3 linked regions of the Notamacropus eugenii genome follow. The protein of the gene in region 2 purifies or fractionates together with the protein of the main gene of each other region. This does not show direct contact. Links are inferred from orthologs where the notes say so. Each region holds a gene or a part of one and is shown on either strand. Other genes may lie near its edges.

What was found.
Region 1: the proteins of ZMYND8 (region 2) and MTA2 purify together in Homo sapiens (affinity purification with mass spectrometry; 3 studies listed by BioGRID and IntAct, with this or other methods). This does not show direct contact. The link is inferred for Notamacropus eugenii from reciprocal best matches to the Homo sapiens genes ZMYND8 and MTA2.
Region 3: the proteins of ZMYND8 (region 2) and MTA3 purify together in Homo sapiens (affinity purification with mass spectrometry, with the first as the bait; 3 studies listed by BioGRID). This does not show direct contact. The link is inferred for Notamacropus eugenii from reciprocal best matches to the Homo sapiens genes ZMYND8 and MTA3.

Annotation. Positions count from the first base shown.
Region 1 is NC_092873.1:15,724,247-15,734,563, forward strand, and holds the start of MTA2 (metastasis-associated protein MTA2), read right to left. Parts: upstream 4,302-10,317; 5' UTR 4,194-4,301; coding exon 4,166-4,193; intron 3,222-4,165; coding exon 3,154-3,221; intron 2,523-3,153; coding exon 2,429-2,522; intron 931-2,428; coding exon 813-930; intron 624-812; coding exon 560-623; intron 238-559; exon of another isoform or gene 156-237; coding exon of another isoform or gene 123-155; intron 1-122. Other genes in the region: EML3 (echinoderm microtubule-associated protein-like 3), read right to left, coding at 5,257-5,460, 5,786-5,916, 6,141-6,239, 6,829-6,916, 7,071-7,168, 7,485-7,573, 7,669-7,736, 7,975-8,106 and 4 more. UniProt on the Homo sapiens protein: May function as a transcriptional coregulator. Acts as a component of the histone deacetylase NuRD complex which participates in the remodeling of chromatin.
Region 2 is NC_092872.1:519,722,757-519,733,087, reverse strand, and holds the start of ZMYND8 (MYND-type zinc finger-containing chromatin reader ZMYND8), read right to left. Parts: upstream 4,429-10,331; 5' UTR 4,164-4,428; coding exon 4,025-4,163; intron 1-4,024. UniProt on the Homo sapiens protein: Chromatin reader that recognizes dual histone modifications such as histone H3.1 dimethylated at 'Lys-36' and histone H4 acetylated at 'Lys-16' (H3.1K36me2-H4K16ac) and histone H3 methylated at 'Lys-4' and histone H4 acetylated at 'Lys-14' (H3K4me1-H3K14ac).
Region 3 is NC_092872.1:667,599,457-667,609,559, forward strand, and holds the start of MTA3 (metastasis-associated protein MTA3), read right to left. Parts: upstream 3,837-10,103; 5' UTR 3,523-3,836; coding exon 3,495-3,522; intron 702-3,494; coding exon 634-701; intron 1-633. UniProt on the Homo sapiens protein: Acts as a component of the histone deacetylase NuRD complex which participates in the remodeling of chromatin.

The sequences.
Region 1 (10,317 bases), on a different chromosome or scaffold from region 2:
TTATGTCTACACTCACAGCCACCAGACTGGTTCAGGCCCTTAGTCTCCTAAGTGATCTCTGTCTCTCCAACCCACCCTCCACAGAGCCATTGGTGACCCTAGACAATCTGACCTCAACGTGCCTTTTCAGCCCTATATCGTTCCCCATCAGGCATCCTCTGGTTTGGCAAAAGTGGCTTTCCCGCTGTTTGTCCATCTCCATCTCAGGACCTCTGCACCTTAGGTACTGGGGGCTCATTCTCCCTCCCCTCCCCCATCTCTCAGAATCCCCAATTTCCTGGAGATTCAGCTCAAGTAACAGCACCATGAATATAAATTGATTTAAAGCCATTCTGCATGTACCTCTCTCCCCTATTAAAATGTAAGCTGTGGCTTTGCTTTTACCCTAGTAACCCATACACAGCTAACACCAAGGAACACTGCCCCACACTAGCTAAGGGAGGGTGGGCAGCACCACCTCTGCCACCCCCTCCACACCTGTCAGCCCTGTGCTGGCTTTCCCCACTATGGTGGCACCACCCAGACCCCTCCCTTCTGCCAACACAGCCCTCTTGGTCACCTCCTTCTCCAGGTACTGGCTCAGGATGTCCGTCTCATTTAATAACGTCACACTGCACTTCCCACTGCAAGAAGAGGAAGGAAAGGTCACTGAGTCTACAATTGCCAATCTTCATCCCCTATGATGCTCCCAAGCACTTGCCCTTGTCACTGGGAACAGGGGTCCTCTCCACTTGCCAGCTAAAGAGGAGCAGACAGTGGGAGAGAAGCCCCTTGTGGGTAGGGTAAAGAAATGACTGTATTCTGTCCCCTACCGTATGTGGGTGGCTGGCAAAGATTCAAATTGTCTCGAAAGGAAGAGTTCCCGGTGCTTCAGCTGATGTCTCTGCTGTTCTGAGACCCCTGGCTGCTTGGATTCCTCCTCAAATTCCCCTGGGAGATGAAAAGAGAATAAAGGCTAGCTGGGGGGGGAATGGGGGACTGTGCCAGTTCCTCCCCCCTCCCTCCTTGTGTCTGCCTCTCAATCCTGTACTGCCTTTCCTCCATCTTGGCCCCAATCACACTCTCCCCAATGCTGCCTCATCCCTAAAGTTGATCAGAAAGAGCTTCCATAACCCTTCTCTCTCCCTCCCCCCCCAAACCTCAGAAATTCATCCCAAGCCCCAAGAGTTCATGCTGGGATCTCAACCCTAGCCAGGCTGCCAACAGGATTAAAAGCCCAGTGAGGTTATACCAGGCTGTGCCTCCCCAAGCAGGTCCTCAAACATCACAGGCCTCCCCCCCTACCCCCACTCCCTCAACCCCCTGACAAAGTAGGACCTGCAGAACCTAATGTCACTTGTTCTTTATCTGAATCCTAGTGTTTATCTTTCAGAGAAAACTCCCACCCCAACATTAACACTATCCCTCCCCTACCAAAGGCCTCAAGCTGGCTAAGCCCAGCTGTAAAGTGTTAACAGGGATGGGTGCCAAGCAAAGGAGAAAGGGGCAGGATAACAACATAGCAAGAAGCCCAGACCCATAGGCCATTGTTTCAACTACCAGGGAGAAGGGGGGGTGGGGAAGGAGTTGGCAGCTGACTCCTCCCCTTGCCTGTGCTGCGGAAACCCAGGGCTAAGGCAAGGGGACCACACCCCCCAAACCCCTTCTGATTGGACAAAGCCAAGGTCAGTCCCTGCCAGATGGGGCAGTAAACCCCAAGGGGCTGTGAAACTTGGAGAGCCTTGTTCCCCATTAACCCTTTAGTGCTGGAACCTTGGTCTAAAAAGTTGAAAACAGACATATCAATGGAAAGAAATCAAAAAGGAAAGGGGGGGAAGAATGATAGAGATGAATTATTACTGGGAAAAGAAAGGGAGAAAGAGGAAAAAGGAAGTGAGGGAGAGAAGTTAGGAAAGGGAAAGAGGGAGGAAGAGAAGAAAACAAAGAGAAGGAAGATGAAGACAAAAGCAAAAGAAATGAAATTCAGGAGTTTCTTCCTCTTCCCAAAGCCTCCACCCTGTGAAGACCAACTCCTTCAGTATTTAAACAAACCACAGCCCCTATCCTAAGGCAGGACACATGGTGTGTTTGGGACTTCCTTCCTCTTCACTTACCCTAACACAATCCTTCTCATTATAACTCTAGTTCATTCAAAACTTACCCACAAGTCCTGATTTCTCTATGATTAGATTCATTGTTTCTACCCTCCATAAAACCTCCCATTTCCCACTGTCCTCTCCTCCTGAAAACACTGGCTCTCCTCATCACGTTCCTCCTCCATTCTACTTTTCTGACATGTGAAAACAAGCCCTAACCCCTCCATGTAGACCTGCTTCCCCCATCCCAAAATTCATCCCCCCCCCCCCAGCCTTGGTCAGGAAACCAGAGGAAACACCTGCAGAGACCTGCCCAGACCTGAGGACATGAAGGAGGGGGAAGAAAGACTCACTGGCATTGCTGTCAGCCAGGCTATTGAGGCTGCTAGAGATGTCCCGTCTTCGGAAAAGGCAGACAACTTTGGCCTCCACGTTCCCATTTGCAGTCTAGGAAGAAAGAGCAAAGTGGTAAAACCGGATGTTAGAGAAAGTAGGTATGTCTAAGGAAAAGGGGCCAGTAACAGGGAATATATATTAAGCACTCACAGATAAAACGACAAAAGACCTCAAGAAATTATGTGCCCAACAGAGTGCAGCTCAGTCTCAGAGCCTCCCAAGTCCCCTCCCACCTAAGGAGCTCCGAACTAGGCCTGGGCCAAAATAAACCCAAGCAAGGACACTTTGAGAAGCACACATCTAGAAAGGACCCAAGGCACTCCATTCTAACCACCCAGAAGACCACCAATACTGTCTAAAAGTGATTGACCAGTCTTTACCAGTAGACTCCAGTAAGGAGAAACTGGTTAATCCTGAGGCTACCCATTCATTCTTGGATATCTGAGAACTGGAGCTTCTGCTTAGGAAGTCTGTCCTCACATTGAGTGGAAACCTACCTTTCCCTAACTTCTGCCCACTGCCCCATGGAGGCCATGCTGAGGAAGTGGAGTTGACAACCACCCACACAAAGAACAGAAGCGCCATGTGTGCCTAGATTAACCTTCAGCTCACATTCTCAGATGTGCTTCCTGGTGAGGATTCAAGCCCCTTCTGACCTCCCCCCACACACACACAAGCTCACCTTATTGAGCTCCTCAATCCTTCTCACCAGGTAAGGATTGCTGGAGGAGTTCTCAAAATAGACGTAATCTGCAGTGGGGAAGAGCCAGGAGGTCAAGAGGGGGAAGCCTCTCAAAGCCCTGAGTGAGGGAGGAGGGATGCAACAGGAAAAAAGAAAGAGGGAGGGTGGAGACCCTCTGGGGGTCTCCCATCATCACATTTACTAGGTTCTGGACGTTGGCTATCCAATGGCAAACATCAGAAGCCAGCGAGCACTTTAGCCCGGGAGTGCTGACCAGGACATGGGCAGCCTGTGGCCTCCAGCCACCCCTGCCCACGGATTCTGGGCCAGGCTTAGCTAGCTCTAAGGCAGGGCAGGCGCTGTCCCTTTGGATCCGGAGGAGGACTCAGGATAGGGGTTCGAGCCGGTAAAGCCCGGGTTCAAATCGAACCTCCAGCACAGAGGAGGGAAAGTGACTGGGGCTGCTCAGGTGGAAAGGGTCGGGGGGGCTTTCCTGCCCTGGGACACCCGAAGCTCTTTACATCCGAACTCAGGTCCCGCCCATCAGACGGAGGGCCAAGGAGCCTCCCAATCGCCCGAGGCGGATCTGGGCAGGAGTTCTGCCCCGCGGGCAGCGCTGTCGCTATAGGGGATCCCGGAGCCAGCCAGGGCCCTATGGTGCCAGAGGTGGGGCGTCTGAGATCTGCCCTGGCACTCAGAGCACTGAGCCGGACTAGGTGACCAGCAGCCCAGAGCGCCCCGGGCCTCACTCCGCCCCCCTGCTGTGGCCTCGGCGGTCAAGTTCACCCACTTAAGTCTCGTTGCGCACCCCCCCCCCCGCCTGGGACCCCCCATGGGTAGGGGGATGGCAGCGCATGCGTCCTCTCTTACCGGGACCCCCGGCAAGGCTCCCCGTGCGCGCATGCGCCCCTCTCGTGCCGCCCCCCCCCCCCCCCAGTCGCCCGGCCCTCCCCCCCGCCGGTCCCGGTAAGCTCGTGCCGGTTCCAGCGGAGCCGGGGCGCGCGGTACTCACCCCCCACCCGGTACATGTTGGCCGCCATGGCCGCCCGACGGGGCCCGCGGGCGCCCGGCTCGGCCGCAGGGAGACCCCGGCGCTGCTCGGCCCTGCTCGGCCCCTGCCCCGGTCCCGGCCCCGCCGCCGCCGCCTCAGCCCCGGCTCATCCCGCGCCGCCGCCGCCGCCTCCCGCCCAGGACGCGCCGAGGCCGGCGCCGGGCCCGCTCGGCTGCTTCCGGCCCCCCCCCCCCCCGGCCCAGCGTCCCGGGTCCGCGGTTCGGTTCGTCCAAACAGAGCCCTGCCTCAGCGCCGAGCCCTTCCGGAACCCTTCCGGCTGCGCCCGAAGGACGGGCGCCCGCGCTTCGGCCACTTCCGGAGGCGCTTCGGCTCTTTCCGGCCCACGGCCTCTGGCGCTCGGGCATTTCCGCCTCCTCGGCCGGGAGGGGTGGGGCCGGGAAGGAGGGGCGGGGCCTAGACTTTAACCCTTTCCTCGCCTCAGCCTTGCAGCCCGACTCGCGGCCGCAGCAGGGAGAGTCGGACCTTTGCATACCCTTTGCTTTTCATTTGCATGGGCCCCGTTGGTCTTTTCTTTTCCTGGTTTGGTCCAGCCCCAGCTCAAGCACACTCCACTGCCCCACTCTGGTCAATCCTGGACCCTGAGAGCGGGGATCGCCCTTAGGGAGGGAGCACCGCGTCCAACCACCCTGCTGGTACCGAGTAGGAGACTAAGGCAGCCCCGAGGAAGTCCTCCAGCCCTGCTCTCTAACTTCCAAACCAGGGATCTCTCTAACCCTACCCCATGCCACCACCACCCCTCCCCGCCTTTCCCCTGCAGAAGGACACACGGGACGCTGCAGAGGGACTTGGCATCTGTTTTATTGACCCTGCTCGGGTGCAGGGTTGAGGAGGAGGGCGGGGGCTGCTCGGCTCAGCCTGCGGTTCTGTACAGTGTTGGGGGGTCCCAACGCCCCTCCCCGACCGGGAGAAGGCACGGAATGCAACGAAGTTGGAAGAGGGGGCTCCTGGTCCTTGGGAGGGGGATGGGGGCGATGGGAGGTAGGGGGAAAAGCACCCTCTAACCCCACCCACTCCATCTAGTCCTAGTGGGGTCAGGCATCCAGCGAGGAGGCGGGGGAGAGGGAAGGGGTGCGGGAGGGTGTCAAGGGGGCTGGTCCAGGGCCCCCACCACTCAGCATGCGCCACTGGAAAATGCTCGCATCCTTTCCTCCCAGTGAGATGAGGTGAGAATCGTCATGAGTGAACCGGACACTGGTGACGTGGCTGCCATGACCTCCGTACTTTCGGCTGGGGGCCTAGCGGTGAGGGTGGGGACAGAATGGGAAGAAATAGGTGGAATCTAGCCCAGTTATGCAGGACTTAGAACTTAGATATCACCATTTAACAAATGAGGCAACTGAGTCTCAAAGGAAGCGACTTGCCCAAGGTCACAGGGCCAGCAATTAAATCCTAGTCTCTTTACTCCGGAATGATGTGTCTCTTGGAGTCCCCTGCCTCTTCTGGCTTCGACTCACACCCCTCTTCCTCACCCCCACCCACTCTTCAGCAGCTCTCGCACCCTTCTTCCCCGCCAGCCCCTCCCCTGGCCTCTGAGTGGGTGAGGTGGAAGAGACCCCTCACCTTGGCCCGGGCGCACGGGTACAGAAACAGATGCACTTTGCAGAAGTCATCCGCTACTGCGACCACTCGCTCATTGTGGGACCGGCACAACGAGTTGATGTCAGTCCCGTCAGATCCGTCCGGCCACACGCCTACCAAGTCAAGCCCTCCTCATTCCTGCTTCCTCCTCCTTCCAAGCTCCCACATTCCCAGCCACCCACAGGTATTGTTCTCGGACATTCCGGGACCCACAATGCGGCATTGTCGGCCCCGATGCTTCTGACCTTTCCCTCCACCCAAGGGCAGTGGTTCTCAGTGTTGTAACACTGCCCTCCTCACAATATTCCCAGCTGCCTTCACCAGGCTTGGTGCTCACCATACACATGGAAACCCAAGACACACGTATAGGTTGCCCACTCGCGATCCCGGCTCTCATACCGATTTCTCAGCAGCTTACAACCCCCTGCCACGTCCCCTGAGAGGAAGGGAAGGAGGGAAGCTCCACTTAGGTCAGTCCCTTTCCATCAACCCAGCTAACTGAAGAAAATAAGGCCAGTCCAGAGGGGTTTGGGCTCCAGATCCTGGCAAATCCATGTTCTGGAAGTCACCCCTCTCACCCAATGCCCCTGGAAAATTTTTCTATAAATGCCTTTGCTTAGCACATTTTCCATGGATTAGGTTGATGAGATGATAGGATTTAGAGCCAGAAAGAGCTTTAGAAAACAGAAATATCAAATGTCAAACAGGAAGGGACCTAAGAGCACATAACTAAAGCACTCAGAGGGACCTTAAAAGCTAGAGTATTGGAGCCTAGAGGGAACTTAGAACCTAGAACGTCAGAACTGGGACAGACCCAAATCTCACTTTATAGATGAGCAAATGGAAAGCTGAAGAAAGGAAGTGACATCCTCAGAGTTCCCAGAGAGTAAGTAACAGAGCTGGGACTCAAACCCAGGATTCTGCCCCCAAATTCCACAGTCCCCCATCACCACCACCCTAGCTCTGAGTCATAGTGGGGGAGAAAACTTGACCCCAGTGACCCACCCCTGTGAACCCCTCCTCACAGTAGAGGATCTCGTAGTCCCCAGAATTGGACATGATGAAATTGCCATCCTTGGACCAGTCTAGGTGGGTGATGAAGCTGGAGTGCCCCTGGGGGAAGGAAGGGTAGAGGGCTGTCCAAAATGGAGCCTTCAGTTCCCACTCCAGTCCCAGGCCATTCTCTAGGAGAACTGTGAAGAGCTGGCCTGCCCCTACCACCACCAGCACCCCACCACATCCCACTCTGCTCATAGGGCACACTCACCGTGCATCGGCCAAACCGGCTGCACTTGGACCCATCACTGGACACACTATAGATATAGATCATGTTGTCGTGGGAACCAATGGCCAAGTAAATCCCATCTGAAGGAGTCAGTCAGTCAGTCAGTCAGTCAACAAGCATTTCTTAAGGGCTTACCTATGGGCCAAGCAGTGTGCTAGAAGCAGGAGATGTAATGAAAAGCAAAACTACAAAACCAAAACCAAACAGTACCTGCTTTTGAGCTTACCTTTGAATAGAGGAGACAAGGGGCCAGCAATCATGTATGTCAAAAAGAGGTATAGAATAATTGGAAGGTAATGTCAGAGGAAAGGAACTAGGATGGGGGTTGGGGTGGGAAGAAGGCAGGTCAGAGAGAGAAGCCTCTGGATGGGGGCAGGGGGTGGGAGAGGCTCTCACCTGGACTATACCTGACAACTGAGAGCTGCTCATTACCATCAGTGAAATCAGACACAATCTCTCGAGTCTCTGTGTCCAGAACCAGCCACCTGGGGTCAGAGAAGGCCATGAGGCCAGTGGCTAACGGCCCATCACCACCCCCAACATCTCCTCTTCCATCCCTCCTCCCCCTTCCCCTTCTCACCTCCCAGTGTTGAGTCCCACAGCCACAACTTTCCCACTGGGGTGGAAGTCAGCACAGAGACCCGTCTCCTGGAGGGGGAGGGTGGTCAGAGATGGAAGGCTGGGGTTGGGATTCAAGGAGATACTTTTCTCATGGGGGGAACCCACCAGATCACCCCGCCTGTTGATGAACTCAAAGCCCATCTCCCCTCAATGCTTCTCAAAGGGAAGGAAGGGCTAGCCCTGGGAGAGATGACTGGATTCCCTAAAGATTATGGGGGAGGTCAGGGAAGGGGGTCTCAGGAGATAAAGTTCATGGCAACAGTACCTTAAGATCAAGGCTCCAGGCCAGAGCGTGACACTCCCCATCCCACAGACAGAGCTGCCGGTCATGGCCACAGGTAAGGAAGCGGTTCAGGGAGGGGTGAGTACAGAGACCCCAGAGTTCATCAGTGTGGCCCTATGGGATACAAGGGCTGGATGACATTATAGGATCTCCTCACTGCCCTGCCCCACACTCCTCTGGCCCCACACAAACACTAACCTGGATAACAGGGGAAAAGCCCTGAGTCAGGTCTCCCCTCAGCAGCGCATTCTTTGTGGTCCCTACCAGCAGCTCTGAGCCCAGCCCTTCGGCAATGGCACGGACAGCTCCGAACTGTTCTGGGATCTGGAGGTGGGGGATGTCCATATCTCAGGAGGAAAGAAGTCCCTACAACCTTCCTCCTGCTCCCCAGCCCCATCTACCTCAGTTTCTCTCCTTCCCTTCCCCCATCTCCAGTCCCAGTCTTACCTCAGCCTCCTGGAGGGCAGTGAGCCCAGGCCCCCACTGAACCAGCCGTCGATCCCGCCCACCCCCGCTCAGCACAGTCCCGTCCCTCAACAGACACAAAGCGAAGATGGAGCCCTCGTGGGCTCGGGTCTGAGCTACGATCCCAAACGTCTCTGTGTAGAGGAGAGAGGGCCAAGATTGGTGGGATCAAGGTCACTGGGAAGGTCATGATACAGTGAAGGGGGAAAGAAGGATGGACTGAGGCCAAGCCCAGGTATAACGAATCCTTTAAAGCCTATAATGTAAGAGCTGGAAGGGGCCTTAGAACCCAGAATGTCAGAGCTGGAAGAGGTCTTAAGAACTCAGAATGTCAGAGCTGGAAAGAGCCTTAGAACACTGACTGGGTAAGGCTTTAGAACCCAGAATGTTAGAGCTGGAAGGGGCCTTAAAACACTGACTAGGTGAGGCCTCAGAACCCAGAACGTCAGAGCTGGAAGAGGTCTTACAACCCAGAACGTCAGAGCTGGAAGGGGCCTTAGCCTTTTTTGTATCATGGGCCCCTCTGGCAATCTCATGAAACCTAACATGAGTGTGGTTTGTTGCCTATATTAATAATTGAAGGAAATGCTAAATTTCTGTTAGGGGTTAGTGGAAATTTTTAAATGTCATTTTTTTCTCCTCCAAGTTTATGGACCTTCTAAAATCTATGCATTAGGCAGATCCCTGATCTGGTCCAAGGCCCTCATTCGACAGATGAAGAACCTGAGGTGCAAACAGGGTAAGTCACTTTCCCCAGGAAGATTCCTGGGCCCTCTCCAGGGTTGTATGGACTACCTTCTTTCTCTCAATTCTCTACCCCGCCCTCTGGGAACTGCCCTGGCTCTAACTTCATGGTAAGGTCTGGACAAGCCTTGGGAACTGGGGGGAATCAAATACCTTTAGCCCCACCCCTGCCTGGGGTCCTAGAGTCAGGCAGGCTCCGCCCCCAGGTGAGGATGGTCCCTTCTGAGTCCCCAGTGAGGATGTCTCCATCCGGAAGGAACACAAAACAGGGGACAAATTTGGGCTTCTTGTATTTCTGGGAGGGGGCAGAGGGTAGAGGTTAAAGGTGAGTCATGAGATCATCAGACTGGTCAAGGGATAAGTTTATACTTTTGGAAGTCAGGAACAAGGGAGCCACAAAAATGTTGGGGGGTCAGAGGTCAGGGATCAAATCTAGGATGTGTAGTAGGGGAAGGTTGTGGGACAATCCCCACTTGACCCCCATACAAACACATTCCCACCCATCAAGCCCCTTCAGATCTCACCCCAAAGACACCCTGTTTCCGGGTGAGTCCCCCACTGCCCAGAGTCCCTCCTCCAATAGACCAGTTCCAGAAGTGGACATGGGACTTCCCACTAGTGACGATACAACTGCTGTCTCGGGGGTTGAAGCCGACAGCCAGAACAGAGTCATTTGTACTCTGGAGGGAAGGAGACCTGGGGGTTAGACAGACAGACAGCCACCAGATCCCCTAAACCAGTCCAGCCCAGGGAGCCCACTTCCCACCCTGCCCCTTTCAAAGTAATATAAGCTTCAGGGTGTTACAGGGTCAGAGTTGAAGGGGACCTTAGAGGTCATTTCATGTTTTTCAGGAGAAACTGAGGCCCAGGGAGAAGTAACTTGCCCCGGGTCATCCCAGTAGTAGTAAGAGACAATGGTGGGAACCCTAGTCCACTTCACACTACCAAGACTTCCTGAAAGGGGGCCAGGGCTAACCACAGAGGGAGGCATCCAGAGACTCCAAGTGAGTCCCAAACCCTGACTTTTCCTTCTTCTATCCCCTGAACCATCAGAAGTCTTTGCCCTCAGTTCCCTGACCTGAGGCCGCAAGGGCTTCCCTCCTCTGTCCCCTCCAG
Region 2 (10,331 bases):
TGAGGTAGGTGCCACTATTATTCCCATGTTATAGATAAGGAAACTGAGGCTGAAGAGGTTAAATGATTTGCTCAGGGTCACACACTGTGTGTGAGGTAAGACAGGAACTCAGATCTTCCTAACTTAGTCCAGTATTTAATTCACTGTGCTACCTAGAAGGCAGGCCATTTTAATGAGGCCTTCTCCAAAGCCAGGTCAGAGGATCAAAGTATTTAGAGTTGGATGAGATTTATTTTTCTTTCTTTTTTTTCTTTGGAGGGGGCAGGGGTGGGGACATGGCAATACAAGTTAAGTGACTTGCCCGGGGTCACAAAGCTAGTGTGTGTCTGAGGCCACATTTGAACTCAGGGCCCCTGATTCCAGGACGAGTGCTTTATTCACTCCAACACCCAGCTGCCCCTGGAGCTGGAGGAGATCATTCAAATTCAGTTCAACTCCCTCATTTCAGGAATGAAGAAAATAAGACTCAAAGAGTGGTTACAGCTGTAACATTCGTGATGCAGTAAGAAGGAAACTTCGCTGCATTTGGAGTTAAAGGATCTGAGTTCAAATTCTAGCTCTACACATTTTGGTGTGAACTTGAACAGTCACTTAACTTCTCAAGTTCTCAGTTTCCTCAACTTTAAAACAACGTAAAGGGAGGTGGACTAAAATATCTCAAAAATCCCTTTCAGTTTTACAACCATGAGCCTAAAAGTTCAATTTCAGGCAGGTTTGTCCTTCCCATTAAGCAATCACAGTTTAGTGTTTTCTTTAGTGACTGATTAAGCTATTTTACCTACTACGGCTGAAAACTGTGAGGCGTTAGGGGATCTGAGACAGCAAAGGAGAAAATAAGATTAATGATTGTGCTACTCAAGATCCTTCCTCGTGATCTTTTATTCTCTCCCTTGCTCCCCCCTCCTCTATCTCCCTGTGGGTCTAACTCTCCATCCCTCTCTATTTCCTTCTCTTTCCTTCCTCCCCTTCCTTTTCTCTCTCTCTCCTCCCCTTCACCTCCCTGTTCCAGGTGAACATATGATTCAATTCAGGGGGTAAAAAAAGAGCCACCAAAAAAAACCTAGAAAGAACATAAAATCAAGGTGTGGAAAGGGCCTAAGTGAGATCTAATTCAAGCCTCTCATTTCACAGACCAAAATAAGGCACCAAGCAAAGAAGAGACTTTGCCCATGTGATACATAGCCATGGTCTAAGAATTTTTTTGTTCTCTCAACACAAACCCTTAGGCCCAATTCTATTTACAAACACAAGCAATTCCCACTGGAGTGGGGGTTAGGCATCTGTTATCAGAAGGGTAGAAATCTAACAGGTCACACATCTGTCAATACCAAAGAGCCAAAAATGAAGGCATCTTGGGAGAAAAATTAAGGAGTTTTTCTATTTTAAGGGGATTTCTCCACTGAATTAGATGTCTTGGAGATACAATGACCATTTTTTTTTCTGGAGCAAAAATCAGGACATATGGTCTGATGAAAGTTGTTCTTTTTATAAAATTTCATTAAGAACATACTTGCTTTTCTCAAAATCAGTACTATGCTAGAAAAATCCAGGATACATGGCTGCCATACATAGAGAAAGGTATAAAAACATTTTTTTCAAATGCTTTTTTAAAAAATCCCTCAAAAGTTATTCAACTTTTATTTTGAGGATCTCCAAACAGAAAGAACCTATACCAAGGACATTTGTAGATGAAATGGCCTAATCTAACTGCTGCTGGCCTTGGAGATGGAAAAGACCTGGATGGAAGCATGAACGTCCATGTGTCCTCAGGGAAATCCACCTCTCAGTGGTGTTCCCAACCCTCCAAAAGCTAAAGAGAAGGTATCCACCTGTACAGAGTTTGAGGGAGTTTCTTTTCCCAGTAGTTCCCTACACCAGTGAAATCACAATCTCCATCCCTACTACCACATTTTGAAGTTTATGAACTTCAACCTCACAACTATCCTTTGAGGTAAACAGTACAAGCATTAACACCCTTTTCGTTCATCCTCCCCTCAAAAAAACGTAAGTAAACTTGAAGAGGATACAGGCTTGCCCAAGGTCAGAGAGCTAAGAAGAGACAGATCACAGGAGCTGAACAGATCCAGCATTCTATCCACGACTTCAGAGCACACTGGAAAGAATAGTTCCTTTTTCTGCACCTTGATTTTCTCCTCTGTAAAACCCTTATCTCCTGACTCCAATTACAAAATCATTTTCACTGCATCATCCTGCCTCTCATCGGATAATGGACTTGGAATCAGGAGGACCTGGGCCCAAATTCCACCTCAGACACTTACCAGCTTATGCGACCACGAACAAGCTAGTTATGAGACTCGGGTTTGTCATCTATAAAATGGGGATAATGATATGTGTAGCTCCTACTTCCCAGGGATATTATGAAAATTAAATTAAATAACGTATGTGAAGTTCATGGTAAGCCCTAAAGAGCTAAAAGACCCCCACCCAAAGACTTAATGCCATGCTCAAGTTGTGAAAGCTTAGAATAGAACAAAGGCTTTGGGGACACCCTGTATAAATGCCAGCTTCTCTTTATGATGATTAACAACAGCAGCCAACAAGCACTGATTTATCAGTCCTTTACTATACGCCAAACACCATGTGCTCCCTGTCACCCTGGTGCTGGCCGCTGCACTTTGTACCTCAGTTTCCAAATCTTAAGTGCCTTATAAAATTTAAAGGGCTAAAGAAATGTGAGGAAATTTAAATTAAAATACTGTACAAATAGGTCTAGAAATCTCTTACCAAAGAGGTCAATCAATAATCAATCAACAAGCAATGCTTAGGCCTTAATGCCTTTCCTCTGTTGATTATCTCCAGTTTATCCGGTATATGTCTTGTATGTATGACAAGATTGTTGTTTGTATGTGGCCCCCTCTCCCCATTAGATTGTAATCTCCCTGAGCTGGTAAATGTGGGGGAGGGGAGGGAAGATGCCTTTCTTTGTATCTCCAGTGCTTAGCGCACAGTAGGCCCTTAAACACTAGTTGACTTGCCTGGACAAACACTTGTTAAAGACTTACTACAGGTCAGGGATAGTGCTAGGCCCTAGGGATACAAGTAAAAGGAATGAAACAATCTCTAATCAAAAGAAGCTTACAAACTAACATGAAAGACAGAGTTGTGCCTGGTGCACACAGTTTGCTTCCCTCTTATCATTTTCTCCCCTTCCCCTCCCCAAAAAGAATTTTTAAAATATATTTGAGAGAATAGATGAACAGAAAGCACACCTCAGAATTATGATGACCCGGTTCAAAGACAGCCTCCAAAAGATACACAGATCATGGAACTTGGAACAAGCCTAAAAACTATCACAGTTAATAATAATAGCCAGCATTTGTAAATCACCTACTATGTGCCAAGCACTGTACAAATATTATTCCATTTGATCCTCACCAACCTCACTTTTAGGTGCTATTATCATCCCCAATTTACAGTTAAGAAAAGGTATGGATTTGTAGGGGTTGAAGGCATTTCCTCCTGGGGAAATTTCTCCCACACTGATTAAATCTAGTTCCACCCTATACATATTACATGTGTATGTACATTTATATATAAAGTGTGTATGTATATGTATGTATACATACACACATATATGAAAAATATACACAAGAGGTTCACGAAGCATTAATGTGTAGGAGGTGCTACTTCTAAAAAGAGTGACTCAGGAACACAGCATGGAGAAAGCAGGATGAAATAGAATATTTTCCCCTGACAACATTCAAACACTATCTCATGAATCTGGAAAGCCTGCTGGGTATTGGAGTACTAACTGGAAGAAGAGACAGTCATGTGAGCTTAGCTCCAGCACTGAGACCAGAAACAGCTTTCAATTTAAAGCACAATTCCATTTCAAAATGCTCTTTTAAAACTTAACTAAAGCCTTGACTTTCCTATTGGCCTCACATCAACCCCAATTACTAACAATGCCATCGAGCAAACCTTCCACTTCTGCCCCAAAGCAAGGACTCTTCTTCCCTCAGCTAGAGAGGGCGAGGGAATCAGTGTTAAAAACCACATTCACCATCTCGCTCCATCGGCATCTGTCTCCTTTGTTCTTGGCTCTTCTGTCTCTGTCGTATGTGGCTGAGGAACGGAACGTGGGTGCTGCTGGGCTTTGGATTAATGGAGCTGGCTTGTTTTTGTTTTGTTTCTTGCTGCATTTAAATGGTGTTCACATGAGCCTGTTCAAGTCTGAACCAGGACAGAACACCAATGTATGTTCCAAAATATACATTTGTTTCCTGGCTCCTATACTGAAGCAGCATTTGCTTCCCCTTCCACTACAAGCAGGCCCTGTGCAGCTCATATATCAGGCTCCTAGTACACACACAGCTCCCTTCAGATCTACAGCAGACACCTCCATTTCATTGACCATCGGGCATTCCTTCCCCCACATCCGCCTCTGGGATCACACACAGACTCCTCAGAGCTCTTAGCTCTCCAGCCCAGGAAATGACGCATCATTACTGGGAATTGTTTTAGTCTCTCAGGCTGGAAAAGACAGGCCTAGTGATTACCAGTCCCGGCCCTGGGCCTGTACTAGATTTTTGGGTGTCTTAAATTACTTCATGCTGTTGACAGCACAATTGTCTGGACCATCTCCTATGTGGTAGCCAGTAATAAGCCTGGATAAAAGAAGGATGATAACAAATGGCTACTGAAATCACTGGGAGGGGGAGGGGAGGAAAGTGTCAAAGCCAGTTGCTAACATAGCCGAACAGATCTAGATCTGGCTCTAAGCCACAATTTGTGAGACCTTAACTTGTTTACTGATCACGGCTCCTACAAAGCTGATTCTCTGAACTTAATTTAGATTTAGAGTGGGAAGGGGACTTAGGGGTGATCTTGTCTACCCCCTTCATAAAGAAAATGAGGCCCAAATGAAGTGCCCAAAAATTGACATCGTTGATGATAGTTAAGGGTCAGAAGTCGGATTCCAAAACTCAAGTCCTTTCCCCCAAATCCAACACATTTTCCACTCTACTACACCATGAGATCTGCTGAATTTATGTATTTAAATTTTATTTTTAAAAAGGATTCTCTAGGAGAATGTCCATTCTTCATAGTCTGGGTTTCTTTTTCTACTTTCTCCTCCATCGCATCCCTGGAAAACACAGGCTTTTCCAGCAGCAAACAACTGTGTTTACCCTCTATCCATCAGCACAAAGTATTTCCACAAAGAAGTACCAGTTCCATACTTGTAACCAGGAGCCCATTTTGGCAAACTGGACAATCCAAGATGAGTCTAGCAAACAAAATGAAGACTGGAAAGCCTTCAGGGCTTGCTCGCTCTATTCCAAATGAATTTACAAACACACTACATCTACAGGAAAGCACCGTTCCCAGAATGAAGCCTGAGCATAAGCACAGAACCCAGATATTATTGGACCATCAGGTATAAATGAAGAGATTGCGCTTGGGGTAATTGCTAACACTCTCCATTGCCTACTTCAAACATGACCACATGCTGTTCTCTAGGGCAACAAAGCAGAAAACAGTTAATAATTTCAAAGCATTTTTTTTAAAGACCCAGAGAGCAGGGTACCCAAACAGGACATGCTACTTAGAAGCAACAGAATACTCCCAAGCCAATACTTAAACTATAATGAACCAAAACCCCAGAAATGCCTGGGGGAAAACACACACACACAGAAAGGGGGGGAAGGGGTGTAGAGGGAGGCGGGGAAAACACCGGGAGAGACAAAGCCCCAAAGAGAAAGCAGGCCCCAGCCAAATCAGACACGTGCAAAAACCTGGAGACTTACAGTTCTTCAGGAAGCCCTGATTTTCTACACTATAATCCTAGATATTTCAAAACAAGCCAAATCACACTAAAAAAGAAACTATTTTAGAGAGCCACCCTGTATTACAGCCCTTCACAATCTCTGAAACTAGATAGACACTGTTTCTGGAAATGGGGGCTTTTATTTAAGGTCCTCAAAGTTAGCATGTAAAAGCAATCTCTTCTGGCTGGGCACATCTATTTCCAGAACAGATATAACTGATATCAAACCCAACCAAGCCTTGATATCAGGGACCTCCTGTTCATGTGAAATTCTCATTGAGATCAATGAAAGGTTCTGAGGCTTCTCGCAGGTTTGGAGTATGGAGAAACAGTCAATTTCCAAATATGAAACAGACATTAGGAAATACGTAACTAAGGGGAGGGGGGGGCCGCAGGAACAAGATCCAGAGGAAAATATAAATTCAAAGCACAGAAGGCCAGAAACCCAAAACCCAGTGAAAAAGCACTTACCAGCCATTTAAAAATTAGATGGGTGATGGTCAGCAGGAACAGCCACATCAGAGGAGGGCTTTCAAGAGGCTTCTGCTTGCAGGCTTTTTCCCCGGCTGGCTTGTTATTAGTGAGAAGGCCTCTCCCAGGGAGGAGGAGGGAAAGGAGAGGCTGGGAGTTATCTCCTCCTATTGCTGCGACTGCTTTCTCTTATTAGGTTCCCCACTGGTGCTAGAATCCCACCACCTCTTTGCAATGTCCTGTGTACAGTGCAGCCGAAGTGGCCTAGCCCACCAAAGCCGTTTATAGATATTTGCTATGGCGGTAATCTATCAAACGTGACAGCAGTGCAGTTCAGATTAAAGTCTTTGTTGCAATTCACAGCAACAGGCCTATTTGCACCAAATGCTATACATGCAACAGAATAGAAACTGTCCTGCTCATTAATGCAAGGTAGAGCTGCAGCATGATCAATAGTTCTGTAAATATGGCATGCCTCTCGGCCATGCTAGTTAGGAAAAGGGCACCATCTTGTGCGCTCTCAGAATGTAACCCAAAGGAGCTTTTTTCTGCTGGAATGTCAGCCAACAGGAACTCAGAACAGCAAGGGCTAAGCCCACACCAACCAGGGTCAGAAAGCTATTAAGGGGCATATTCACATGCAAAAGGTGAAAACAGCAGAACCAGCTTTGCAAGACTGAGGGTGTAGCAAGTCTGGGGAAATGAGCCTGATTTGCAAATGAATTCCCGGCTGCTTCTGGACAATTGCTAGACCAGAATGAAAGAAGTTTTTCGACCAGGTCTCTAATCTCCTTTAGGATGAAGCCTTAGGAAACTAGGGGACATCTCTACAGGAATTTCCTAGTTGGGGTAGTGCCAGCTGGTGTGGAATTTTACAAGCAAAATAAAGGGCCTCCCCAAATCCCAGATATATGCAGTCCTTATTACAGCTTGAGCCCTGCAGGTCTGGCTCAGTTCAATTTATTTACATGTGAAAAAAAGTACTTAAAAGTCAGGCCAAATCAGGGTGAAGAAAATGCCGTACGACTGGTTTCCTTTGGCTTTTAAATGCCTGGTTACCAATAATTCCAAGTTCACCAGTTCTGGAGCGTAACTAGCAGGTAGGCGGAATTCCTGTCTGCATTATTTATCATAGGAGCCCCAGCATTCTGCTAAAGCACCAACGTCCGCTCCGTGCAGCTGGCAGCGTCCAAGGGAGCGTTTGGCCAGCACATTTACAAAGCAGGAAGGCTTCCCAGACAGGAGAAAGGTTCTACTCTTTAAGGAATAAATGGGGGGCGGGGGGGGGGGGGGGAGGAGAAGAAATCAGAGGGAGAAAAGCTACGAGAGGGGAGGAGAGAAAAGAGGGGCAGGTGATTCTTTAAATTAAGAGCAAAACATGGATCATGTTCTGCCCAAGGCCTCGCTTTCCCCCAAAGCCCACCCATGTCAGGGAAATTTCCAAAAGGCGCCAAAACATGCTTCACCCGTCCCACCTCTGACCTCACTTCATTCAGCAGCCCTGGGGGGGAAGATCATGTTCACGGTATACAGTAAACCACCCTGAGTTTGAGTCTCAGCTTGAATGGTCTGGCTGGGTCACGTCAACAAGCATTTATAAAGCTCCTACTACTTACCAGGCCCAGGGCTAGGCTGGGAGATAACAAGGAGAGGCAGAAGACACACCCTGCCCTGGAAGCCCAGTCTAGTGGGGAGAGAGGGAGGGGGACAAGATAGAGAGAGAGAATAAAATGGAGATGATCTGCTGGGAAGGCTCCTAGCAGAAGGTGGGTGATAACTGGGGCCTTCAAGGAACTCGAGGCAGACAGGCTACTGTGTGACCAGTCAAGAGAAGAACCAGGACTCTATCACCAGATGGAGGGCCCTTTGCATAATATGTAAATTTAACATCAATTATTATATATAATATGTAAAATTAATTTCTCTGGGCCTTAGCTCCTCTACTCCAAAATGATAATGATGATTGTAGCTAATAATGACAATAATCAATATCTCCCCAGTTGTTGTAAAGCCATAAATCACTATTAAAATGTGAGCAGTGACTATCACTGTTACAGGAAACCTCTCTTCATCATCGTGACTGCTCCTCTTCGAGAACGAAGGATGAAGAGAAAGTATGGCACAGAAGAAAGAGGGACATCACAAGACCTGGGTTCAAATCCCAGCTTTGTCCCTTAACAGTTGTTTGGTCATAAAACACGTCATTTCAGCCCTGGACTTCAGGTTACTCATCTGTAAAATGGGAAGAAAAAAAGCTATACTAATCCTTGTGGTTATTCAATGAGAGGATAAGTGTAAAACATTCTGTAAAACCACAATGAAAACACTTCAGTTAGTAGCAGTACTACTAGACGGATGGGTTACCTTCTCCGGTTTTAGAACTTCACTTAATTCCATGCATTGAAAATATCTACAATCTACTATAGACAAGGGCTAGGAGGTTAGAACTATGGCAATACACAACTGAATTGTCATCTTTATCACCATATAAACAAAAATTATGTAGAAGGGTCCAAAAAAACCTCATACAAATTTGTGATACGGGGTGTAAAAAATAATTACTCTCCCCTTTTAAAAAAAAGGAGGGGGTATGAAAGATTGTGTTGGACATGTGAATCCCCCACACATCAAAACAGGATGATTATTAACCAACATTAAGACCATGTGTTCATTTATGTTCTACAACTATTACTCTAGTCTCAACAAGCCTTCACTAAAAGCCCACTAGATGCCAGGGACTTAGCTAGGCCCCAGCGTAGCAAAGACAAAACAGCTGCTACCCTCAAATAACTTCCAATCCTACTCCTGAGAAACTAAAGGTTCAAGGATGACCAAAGGCAAAGTAATTTCCAAAGATAAGCCGCTAACGGTGGTTACAGGTAGCACTTTATTCGAGCCCTGAAGGAGAGAAACATTAAGAGGGGGTAAAGAGTGAGATAACAGTAGACAGAGCATGAGTCCTGGAGTCAGGAGGACCTGAGTTGGAATTCATCTCAGATACTTACTAGCTGTGTGACCCTGAGCAACTCACTTAACCCCAACTGCCTCCAAAAACAAAAACAAGAAGTAAAGAGGAAGAACATGGCAGGAAGAAAAGACAGAGGGATGGGAGACAGCAGAACAATAGAAAAAACCTAGATCTGGGTTAAAATCCTTCCTCTGACACTAACCCTGTGTGACCTTGGACAAGTGATTTTAACCTCTTGGCCTCAGTTTCCCCATCTGTAAAAAGGAGGAGACTGAACTAGACAGACTCTAAGGTCCCCCCTTCCAGCTCTGAATCTGCAATCCTTTGAACATCCTACCTGGAAAGCTGCAAAGAAGTCATTTTGATGGGAAAACTAAGCTATAAATGATTTCTGAAAACAGTCTTATTTCCTCTGCATTTCTACCTGTTCCTAGCCATGCGTAGCACGTGGTTGGTTGGTGAATATTTGTTAATGATGAATGCCCAATTCCGCTCTGAACGCATGATTAAAACAGAAGAATGCATTCCCCCAGCTTGGCTCCCCTCAGAATCCAGAACTATGGCAACTCTAAGACTCAAAGAGAAGTAACACTGAGAACTTCTGCCTCATCAAATGCAGTCAAGGAAAATGAAAGAATCATAAAAACCTAAAATGCCAGAGCTGGTAGACAACAACAATGGAGGTAATCGCCAGCATCTACATGGCTCTTTAAACTTTACAAAGTGCTTTAAAAAAATCGTCTCATTGAATTCTCACAACTCTGGGGGCCATTTTATGGATGAGGAAACTGAGAGACAGTGCTTGATCTGCCCAGGTCACACAGCTAGAAAAACCTTCTGAGGCAGGATTTAAACTCAGATCTTCCTGACTCCAGGTTCAATACTCTATCCACCAGTGTCACTGAGATGCATCAAACATACTATGTCAGAGCTGGAAGGGGCCACAAAGATGATCTAACACAATTGTCTTATTTTCACAGAAGGACAAACTGAGGCCAAGAAAAGAAAAATGACATATCTGAGATCTCACAGTGAATTTAATGGCAGAGGTGGGACTAGAAGTGGCTCTAGGCCTCCTGCTCTTTCCATGATGACTTTACAAAG
Region 3 (10,103 bases), about 150 Mb from region 2:
CTATCCAGTCATATGATCTAAACACATTAATGGTCCATTTTTTCCCCAAACAGCTTTCCATGCCTGCCCTCATCCTGGACTTGTGAAATTGATGTTTTGTACCCAAGTACAAGAACTAACATTTATCCTCAATATATTTTATCTTATTCGATTCAGCCCAATGCTCTAGCCTTTCAAGATCTTTTAAAATGCTGACTCTGTCATCCAGTGTGTCCACTGTATCTTCCAGCTGAGTGCCATCTACAAATATCATGGGTATGATATCATGACTTTACCCAACTCACAACCTCTGAGCCTCAGCTTTCTCACCTACAAAAAGGAGAGAATAATAGTTGTAGTATCTACATCACAACTGTGAAGATAAAATGCAATAATGTAAAAAAGCACTCAGTAAACTTTATGGCACTTTACAAATATCAAGTATGGTCTAGTTAACAGCAATGGTTATTTCAAAGGCAATGATAGGCAAGAAATAATTCAAGACTCTGAACCAAAATGTATTTCAATTTGTCAACATTCAAAAAGTTTGGGATCTAAAATTTGAATATAAAGTGTTAAAACTTCTTGTGCCTTCCACCCAAGAGCGTGTAAAAATTCCAGTGTACCAGACCAAAGGAAAAAGTTAGTATGTACCTTATTAAGTTCTTCTATCCTTCTGATTAGATATGGGTTACTTGAGGAATTCTCAAAGTAAACATAATCTGCAAGGAAAGGTAAAAAATATTTTAATATCTTCAAAATTAGCATGCAAAAAATAGTATTATTCTGTCACCGATCTAATTGAAGTCATGAAAATTATACAATTCATATTCCACACCTCTCAGCTCAGCTCATTCACTATGTAAAACCAAGCTTAAATAAAATATACAGTACATGGCCCACATGTTTGTTATCTACAGGCAATGAATTTCATTTATATCCTTATTTCAATTAACATGGTCAACTAGGATCATAGATTTAGAGTCATGTTAACAAGCATTTATGGAGTGCCAACTACATGCTAGGCAATGTGATAAAACTGGAGAAAGGCAATGTCCCTATTCTCAAGGAATTCATTATCTAATGGGAAATAAAACATGCAAATACTACAAAATATACACAGAATAAATTGGAGAGAATCTCAGGGTGAAGGAGAGAACAGACTTAAGAAACAGCAAGGAAGCCACTGTCCCTGGAGGAAAAAATACATGAAAGGGGTGGGGAAAGAAAGTTATCAAGTAAGGTGTAATAAGACTGGAAAGATAACAAGGGGGCAGATTATGAAGCACTTTAAAAGCCAAATCAAATTTTATATTTGATCCTGAATGTAAAATAGAGTCATTGGATGTGACTGAATATGGGGAATAATTTGGTCAGACTTGCACTTTAGGAAGACCACTGACAACTGGGTGGAGGATGGACTGGAATATGGAGAGACGTAAGGCAGGAAGACCTATCAGCAGACTATTGCCATAGTCTAAGCTCCAAGTAAAGAGAGCCTGCACCAGAGCAGCGTTAATGTCTGAGGAGAACAAGGGGCAAATATACAAGAGATGTTTCAAAGGAAGAACAAATAAGACTTGGCAAAGACTGTCTATGTGAGGGTGAGAGAGTGAGAGAGGAGTCAGTGATGACACCCTCATTGGGAGCCTATGTGACTAGACCTAGGAGGGACCTTGGAGATAATGGAGTATAACATTCTGAACTTACAGGTGAAGCAATGGAGGCAGAGAGTGTTTGACTTACCCATAGTTACCCTAGGAATAATTTTTAAAAAGCAACTCACATATACAAAAAGCTCTAAGTTTAAAGAAAACTGACCCATGCCAGCTCATTTGATTTTTCTCTGAGACAGGTGCAAAGTATTAATCTATTTTACAGATGAGGAAACTGAGCATCAGAAAGGTTACATGCCTTGCCCAGAATCAGAGAGCTAAAGTGTTCAGGTGCAATTCTAATCACTGAGTCCAAGTCTTTTCTGAACTCTATTTACTAAGTCAACAGAACTGAGTTTAGAACACAGTTCCTCTGACTTCAAAACAATGCTCTTTGCATTACCACAGGCTGATTAAACATCATTAGCTATAATTATTCAACCCCCACTGAATAAATGGCACCCAATATGCTCTCTCATATCCAATGCTAAATCTATGATCCCATGAAAGGAATATGATGATGGCAGTAGGTACAACCATTTTCCGCTCATCTCCAATTTTCTTTTAATTATAATACAAGTGTCACCATTTTCTTCATATGAGAACTACTTCGCGTAACTTAAAGGTTTCTAAGTCTGACATTTCAATGACCAAGTAACTTTTCAAAAATAGATCAAGAGACAATGAGGAAGGCTTAGTACAGCAAATGCGTGTGGACTTGAAAACATTTACATGCTTCACCATACCAGGAAGGCCTTTACCATGGGCAAGGTCCCCTGGAATAGACACCAAATTCCTTTTATCATCTAACTCCCTTTGGGCCCATTTATGTGGATATCAGAACAAGCTTTCCACAGAAAAGGAGAAAAATCTGAAGTATGGCTTGTTGTCTCAATCTAATAGGCTCACTGGAAACTTCCCACTGTGTGTTTTATTTGAGAGGCTGGATTTCCATTGTTATTGTCTCTCTTGGTGCCTGTTTTCCCTGTCTTTTTCCTGCAAAGTGGCCTCATTTAGCCAGTACCAGTGCAATCCCTCCCACCACTAGCCATGAGCTGAGCTAATGAGAGAGAAGCTGGAGCAGCCTCTCAGACGCAAGCACTGCACTCATCTGAATTATTATTTTGTCAGGAAGGGGACAGGAGGGAATCGAGGAGGGAGAAAGTTTGTGTTTCACGCTATCGCTCTCCTTTTCGAAGAGGCAGGCGCTAACCCAAGGCGCTGCTGCTCCCCATCAGCGACTGCCTCCTGGGGGAGCTGGGGCCCGGGCTGGGCTGGGCAGAGCAGGGCCCCTGAGCGGGGAGGGCGGAGAAGCAGGGCTCTGCCCCTGCAGACAGGCCTGCCTGGCTCTCCCTCCGCCCGCCTGCCCGCCTGCTCCCCCTCCAGGGGACGGACGGCCTGGCTCCACACTCACTGGGCCCCAATGCCCTGCACCCACATTGTGGGGGATGCTCGACCGCCCTTACCACCAGGAGCTCCTACCCCAGGGGAATGGGAGGGCGATCAGCTCATGACCCTGTAGGGAGGCAGGGGTCCACGCAGGCCCGGGGGAGGGGGAGGGCCTGGCAGGCCCCTGGGCGAGGGGACAGGAGGGGAGAGGGGGGTGCCAAGGAGAGAGAGGCACGGGGAGAGGGGGCGGCCACTAGCAAGGCGGGGGGGGGGGGGCCGCGGGGGGGGGGGCGCGCGGTGGGGGGGGGGGGCGCGGGGGAGGGGCGGCCCTCGCAGGCCCAGAGGGAGGGGGCACGCGGGGCTCGGCGGGGGGAAGGGATCTGCCCCCCACCTCTCCTCCCCCGCCCTCTCCAGCGGTTAGGGTTCCAGCTCTCCCGCCCCCTCTTCCCCCAGGCCCGGGTTCCATCCTACCTCCGACCCGGTACATGTTGGCCGCCATGTCCGCCCGCCCGCCCGCCTAGCCCAAGCCGGAGCCGGAGCCGGAGCCGGAGCCCGAGCTGAGCCCCGCCCGCCGCCGCCGCCGCTTCAGCCTCAGCCGCCTCCGCCTCCGCTGCTGCTGCTGCTGCTGTTACTGCTGCCGCTGCCGCCGCCTCACCGAGGGGAGGGGGAGGGGGAGAGGAGGGGGTGAGAGAGGAGGTAGAGCAGGGGAAGGGAAGGGAGAGGGAGGGGGGAGCGGCCCGCCCCCCGGGCCAGCCACGGGTTAATAGGGCCCTGCCCTCGAAGGGGCGGGCGTGGGTGACTGGCGGGAGATCGCTGGGGAGAATCCTGAGGGGACCGTGGAGAGAGAGCTAAGGGTCTACAGCCTGGGCTTGGTGATTTCAGGGTCTTAAACCCATTAGGGAATTTAGGACGATCCCAGCCTCGATGACCTCCTCCCCCTTTTATCCCCCATCCCCCACACACCTGTACGCACAGTTGCTACTCTTGCCCAATCACCCCCTTTAGGTTCTAGCTCTGCAACTACCCTTGGGAGCTCGTGTGTGTGTGTGTGTGTGTGTGTGTGTGTGTTGCAGTTTGGGTGCACATAAGCCATACGTGGGAGTATGCTGTGGTGTTTCCTCAACTGCATGTGTGGCTCTGAGTTTACTTGGCTAGTCATGCAAGGTGAGAGAGTCTGATACTCCTGTTTCCCCTCGAAGTGTTCAGAACCGTGGGAGGGAACCTGGAGGTCGGACTAAGCCACTGTCTTGGCCCCTTAGTGACTGCAGGGACAACCAGCTTCTTCTAGGGCTGAAGACGAAGGTACCCATGAAGGCAGTCATAGCTTCAGAGGTGTACAAACCTAGGGAGGAAAGAACCCTAGGCAGGGAAGAATAAGGAATGATGCTTTCCTCTTTGCCAATACTTTTGGAGAGCTCAGCCAGCCTTCCTTCTTCACTATAAGGCTAGTCTTGCATGTTGAAGGAACCTTGTGCCGAACTTCCCCTTGAACTAGGAACCACAAAATACAAGGGAGGAGATTGGTGGTGGAAGACTGTTTCAGTCCCTAAATAACACCATCAATTTGTAGGTCCAGTTCCTGTCCTCTTGTCCCTTGGAAACTGCCTTTCTCAGCTGCAAACAGAGAGACCTATGAAGGCAAATATAGTTCCAGAGGACTAGGAATCCAGAACGAAAAGGGGTGGGGGGCAGAGGACATAATAGAAGGGCTCCTTTTTCTTTGTCAATGTTAAGGAAATTCAGCCAGCCTTTGCTGCCATGAGCATCCCCATTAGCAAGAAGCACAAGACAACTAGGTTGGTAGCGATGGACAGTAACAAGTTATTTGCAACTGAGCTTTCCACTGGGTCGTTATTTTTCCCAATTTGGTCCTCTAAACAAACCACTTGGTTTTGATATCCTTCATATCCTGACAAAAACAAGAAACCAAATAAAGTCTGAAGCTAGCTAGACATCCCCGAATGAACCCAAACAACCTTATTTAGTGAAACTAAACTGTTCCCAAGCTAAATCGGTTCCAAACTGTTCCCAAACATTGTTGTTTAATAAACATGAAGATGCCCCCATGCTGTTGTTCCTTCTTTGGAGTTTCTGACTGAGAAGCAGCCGTCTCTCTCATTAATTCCAGGCTCCAATTCTTGTAGTGTTTTTCTTTTAATCTCCAGAAGAGAAAGACTACTCTTTTAGCTTTCTGACAAGTCATTTATTTACTTTGATACAATAAACAGAAATTTTTTGATGAAATCAAGACTTTATGTGTAGCCAAACTAGAGAACTCAGGCTAATAAAAAGAACTCCACCTTTACAAGGGCTATATGAACCTTTGGTTTAATGCCTTTTCCTCTTCCATAAGAAGAAAATTAACAATGGTGAAGTTGTCATGATTCAGCTTAAAGCTATCACAATTGTACTAGACTTTTATCAAAATATCCCCTGACATAGGGAAGCTCTACCTGTCTGTTTCAAAGATGAGCCCAGGAAGACTTTTATTTGTCTGGTAGCACAGGATCCACAGAATTGTAATCAGAACATATCCCAATATCACCATCACTTTATATCACCTGAATCAAGGCCTGTCTAATTTATAAATTAGATAATGATGTAAAACAGGATAACACTTAAGGGGTTCCCAGTGCTTGAAACTCAGGGAGACAGACTGAGAGGCATTTTCCCCTGTGCTTTTTTACAGAGTTCTGCAAGTAGGGAGAGAGCAACCTCTCCTTTTCAGCCTCTTTTGACCAGTATTGACAACCTACAGCAAAAGCACTTGGCAATGATAGATATGTGCTTCTCCAGTCCTGAGGTGGAGTTTAAGACACTGTTCCTGAACCCCAGTGTAGAAGGAATGATTGTGAATTCCTTAAGCAGTATAATTCTGGCATCTGTTCTACTAACCAGGAAAGATAAATTTTCAGGGAGGCTTTGCAAGTTAACTCCTAGACAATTCCAAATTTGTTTCTGATTATAAATATTCATATACTAGTGTCCTAGAGAAAAAAGACTTCTTCAGCAGTTGGCTTCTTAGAGAGGAAAGAGAAGCACCCTTAAGTAGGTACCTAATCTAACCCAGCTGCTCTTCTCAGCTTCTTTATCCTTAGTATTATTTTTACTTCTTTATGTACCACATTAGAGACAATAATGTTAGGATCTAAATATGGTGGACTTCACTGTCTTTGAGGGAGAAAATAGGTTGTTGTAAAAAAGTCTTATAGAGCCTTTGCATTTTTCATCTTCTATTGTCCTCCCAGTTTTATCCTTTAATGCGCACACGATTATCTGGCTTTATTGGGTTTCTTGCAAGTTTTCTGTAATTTTTTTTCACTATCACTTTTCATTATTTTGTGAAGTGATAATACTTATAATCTTCTGCTATCCTCCCTTTTGAGATTTCCCCTAAAAAATGTTGTAGACTGGCATTGCCTTTGGCTGCCATATATTTCAGCTTGGCGAGAAGATCATTGTTCTACTTAATGAGGAATTTTCTTGGGTTTTTTGGCGTCTTCATTGTAACAAGTGATTTACACTAGTTAAACTTGATGGTTGTTGAACTGAATTGAATTCTTTAAAATGAAGTTGTATTGCCTTTTTCAATTCCAGAAAAAAGAGAATTAAAATGGGTGAGAATTATTATCTCTTTAGGCAATAGTGGTAGAACATCTAGTACTCTCCTCTCTTCAGGAAGTAGTGATTGTTTATGTTGATGTCTCTTCTTTTAATTCTCATTCTTTTGTTTGTTGAAGACTAGGTTTACACCAATAAGCTTAAATTCATTTGATAAATTAACTTAATAAATCTCCTTTCTACTGACCATATTTCTGTAATGTTCCTAGAATGTCCCATCACACTTTTTGGCTTAGGTGGTTCAAATACTTATGTAAAAATTGCAATTTTATCACGTCTTACTTCTTTGGGTATTTGTGAATAACTAAAAAACAAAACAAAACAAACTTGTCCACTATTAATCCCTTAATAAGCTAAATATATTCAAGCCTTCTTCCCAGTTTACTTTCTGCTTTGATTAGTCCAAAGTCATTCATTTCTGCTCCACATCCATGACTAACTAGACCATAAAGATAGCATTTACAACTATTTCAGCCATTTGTTCATGGCAGCAGTTCGCTATTTTAAAGCCCTGAGTTGTCTTAATTGCATGTCATGTCTTCTTATTTTTATTTGTTATTGATTTTGATCCTGGTTTTAACCAGTCCATATCTAACTGAACACAGCTGATTGGAAAATGACTTCCCTGCTCGTAACCAGTTGTTTCCTATCCATTACAACTGAGTCAATTTCAGATTTAGCTGTATTATTCAGTGTTTGTTCTGTTTCACACCTCCTAATTCTGTTGTTGAACAAAACGTTCATGATATGTAGATGTGAAGCTTCAGTGTAATCTACAAGTATTTGACCTCTTTTGTTTCTTTTTTATTTTGTTTCATGTACTTAAATCATATTTTCCAACATATATATTTTGGCCAGCACTCCTTAAACCCACATGTGCATTACAGTCACCACGTATTAAGGCATAAGTTGATTTAATTTGCAAGAGCTTATCACATTTTTTCATACAATTTCTCTACCTTCTCATCCTCTACCACAGCTGTGATCTACACCAAGGAAGGAAATACTTACATATATGAAATTTTAGGTCCATCAAAGTATCCTAGAAGTATTATTATTGATTGGATAAAAGAAGGATCTGGAGCTTGGAACACTGCCTTGGATAGCAAACCTTGGAGAGCAGTCCTCTCAGGGAGACAGGACTGAGCAGGTATCCTTCAAATATTATGTGTCTGGAGATGGGGTGGACTTGGGGGAGGGGAGGGTCAATGGGAGACAGCAAAGGCAAACTGGCTTCTGGCCTCATCTTTGACCTACAACTACTCTCTCCAAGATTACTAGAGATCTCTTAAATGCCAAATCCCATTGTCTTTTCTGTGTCCTCATCCTTTCTTGCATCTCCACTTCATTTGGTATTTAACACTGTGGACGGCTCCCTCCTCCTAGACACTATCTCCTCGCTGGGCTTTCATGTCACTCTTCTGGTTCATCTACCTACCTGCCCATTCTTTCTGTTTCTTTTACCAGATCATACATGATCCAGGTTCACACCCCTGTATGTGGGTGTACCCAAGGACTTAATTCCCTGTCCTTCCATGTACTAGCTATCTTGGTAGTCTCATCAGCTGCCGTGGTTTCAACAATCATCCCTCTGCATATGACTACCAGGTCTATGAATTCAGTCCTAGACTCTCCACTGAACCAGAATCCCACTGACTATTGGACACTGGCAACTAGATGTTCCCTAGACATTTCAACTCAGATGTCACAAACAGAACTCATTATCTTTTCTAAAAAAAACCCCTACTTCTTCCTAATTTCCCTATTTCTTTTGAAATACCATCATTCTTCTAGTCACCTATGTTTGCAGTCTCAAGGTCATCCTCAACATTCTTCCTCACTCACAAACTTAATCAATCAGCAAGTATTAATTTGGATCAAATGTAATGAAAGGGACAGTCCCTGCTTTCATGGAGCTTATATTCTAACAGGAAAGATAATGTATAGATTGATAATAATAATAACTAGCATTTATATAATGCTGTACAGTTGCAAAACACTTTACAAATATGATCTCATTTGAACCTCACAACAACCCTGAGATGTAGGAGCTATTATTCTTCCATTTTACAAAGGAAAAAATTAAGGCAAACTAAAGTTAATTGACTTGCCCAAGGTCGTACAGCTAATAAGTGTCTGGGGCTAAGTTTGAATTCAAGTGTTCCTGACTCCAGATCCGTCTCTCTATCTACTTTACCACCTGTCTACTTATATAAGTATATTCAGAATATGAAGAGAATAAATACAAATGCATACCAAGTGGTCAAATATGAGGTGGTTTCCCAAGAAGTATACTAGCAATTTAGGAGATCAGGAAAGTCTTACTTAGGAAATAGTACTGGAACCGATGGGGTACTTCGGTGCCTGTGCTTAGACCCCAATCCTAAAATCACATTTCTTTCTAAAAATTATATTTCTCCCTGGCCTCAAAACACTAACCCAGGCAGTTTCTCCCCAGCCCAGGGACACAGCCTGCCCAAGCAACAACCGTTATCTCCCTTCCTGATACAGCTGCCAGCTGCACCTATAGAACTTATTAGTCTGAACCATCTGTGTACTGGCTGATCTGGCTGTGTATGGGTCATTTACATTGGTCACTGACCAATAATATGTATCCTAGACTTAGACGTATGTATACTCCCTTACATTTATCTTGTCTAACAAGACATTGATGAGAGCAGTCTGCTATTCCTTAGTGAGCCCTGACCATTAGTTGATTTAGTGATGTTTCAGGCCTAAAATCACACTTCCGTGTAACCCCACCTTGGGCTATTTCCCGATGAACTCTGGGTAAAATACCTGCACAGTAGATACTAAAAGTGCATGTTCCTTTAAGAACTAACCATTCCCTAATCCCTCCCTGAATCACCTAGTTAACATATTTGGCTCATTATAGAATATCCTATATAACCTTTACCTGGACCCCTCTAAATTTACAGGTCCCCTAAGAACTCTTGCCTGCTAAAAAGTGTAATAAATCTTTACCTGGACCTCAAGAATGCTTGAGTCCTCAAATTCATTCCAGGCAACTTGCCCTTGTTCTCTGGTCTTTGTGGGGGTCTCCCCCCCTTCCAGCCTTCATCAGAACTACATCATGAAGGAAGAGATTCTATAAGCAGAGGTGATGAGGGAGTGCATTTCAGGCATGGGAACAACTGCTACACAGGCATGGTGATAGAAGGTAGAGGGCAGAAGGACAGAGACAAGGCCCCTCCTCAGAGTGGAGAAATTTACAATGCAGCTGAAAAAAAAATAAGTCTGGGCAAGGTTATAAAGAGCTTTAAAAGCTAAACAGAAGCCTTTGTGTTTTATTCTAGAGACAATAGGGAGCCACAGGAGCTAACTGAGTAGGGGAGGGACATGGTAAGATCTACCATTAGAGAAAATTATTTTGGCAGCAGTGTAGAGGATAGAATGGAATGGGGAAACACTAAAAGCAGGGAAGCAAATTATGAATCT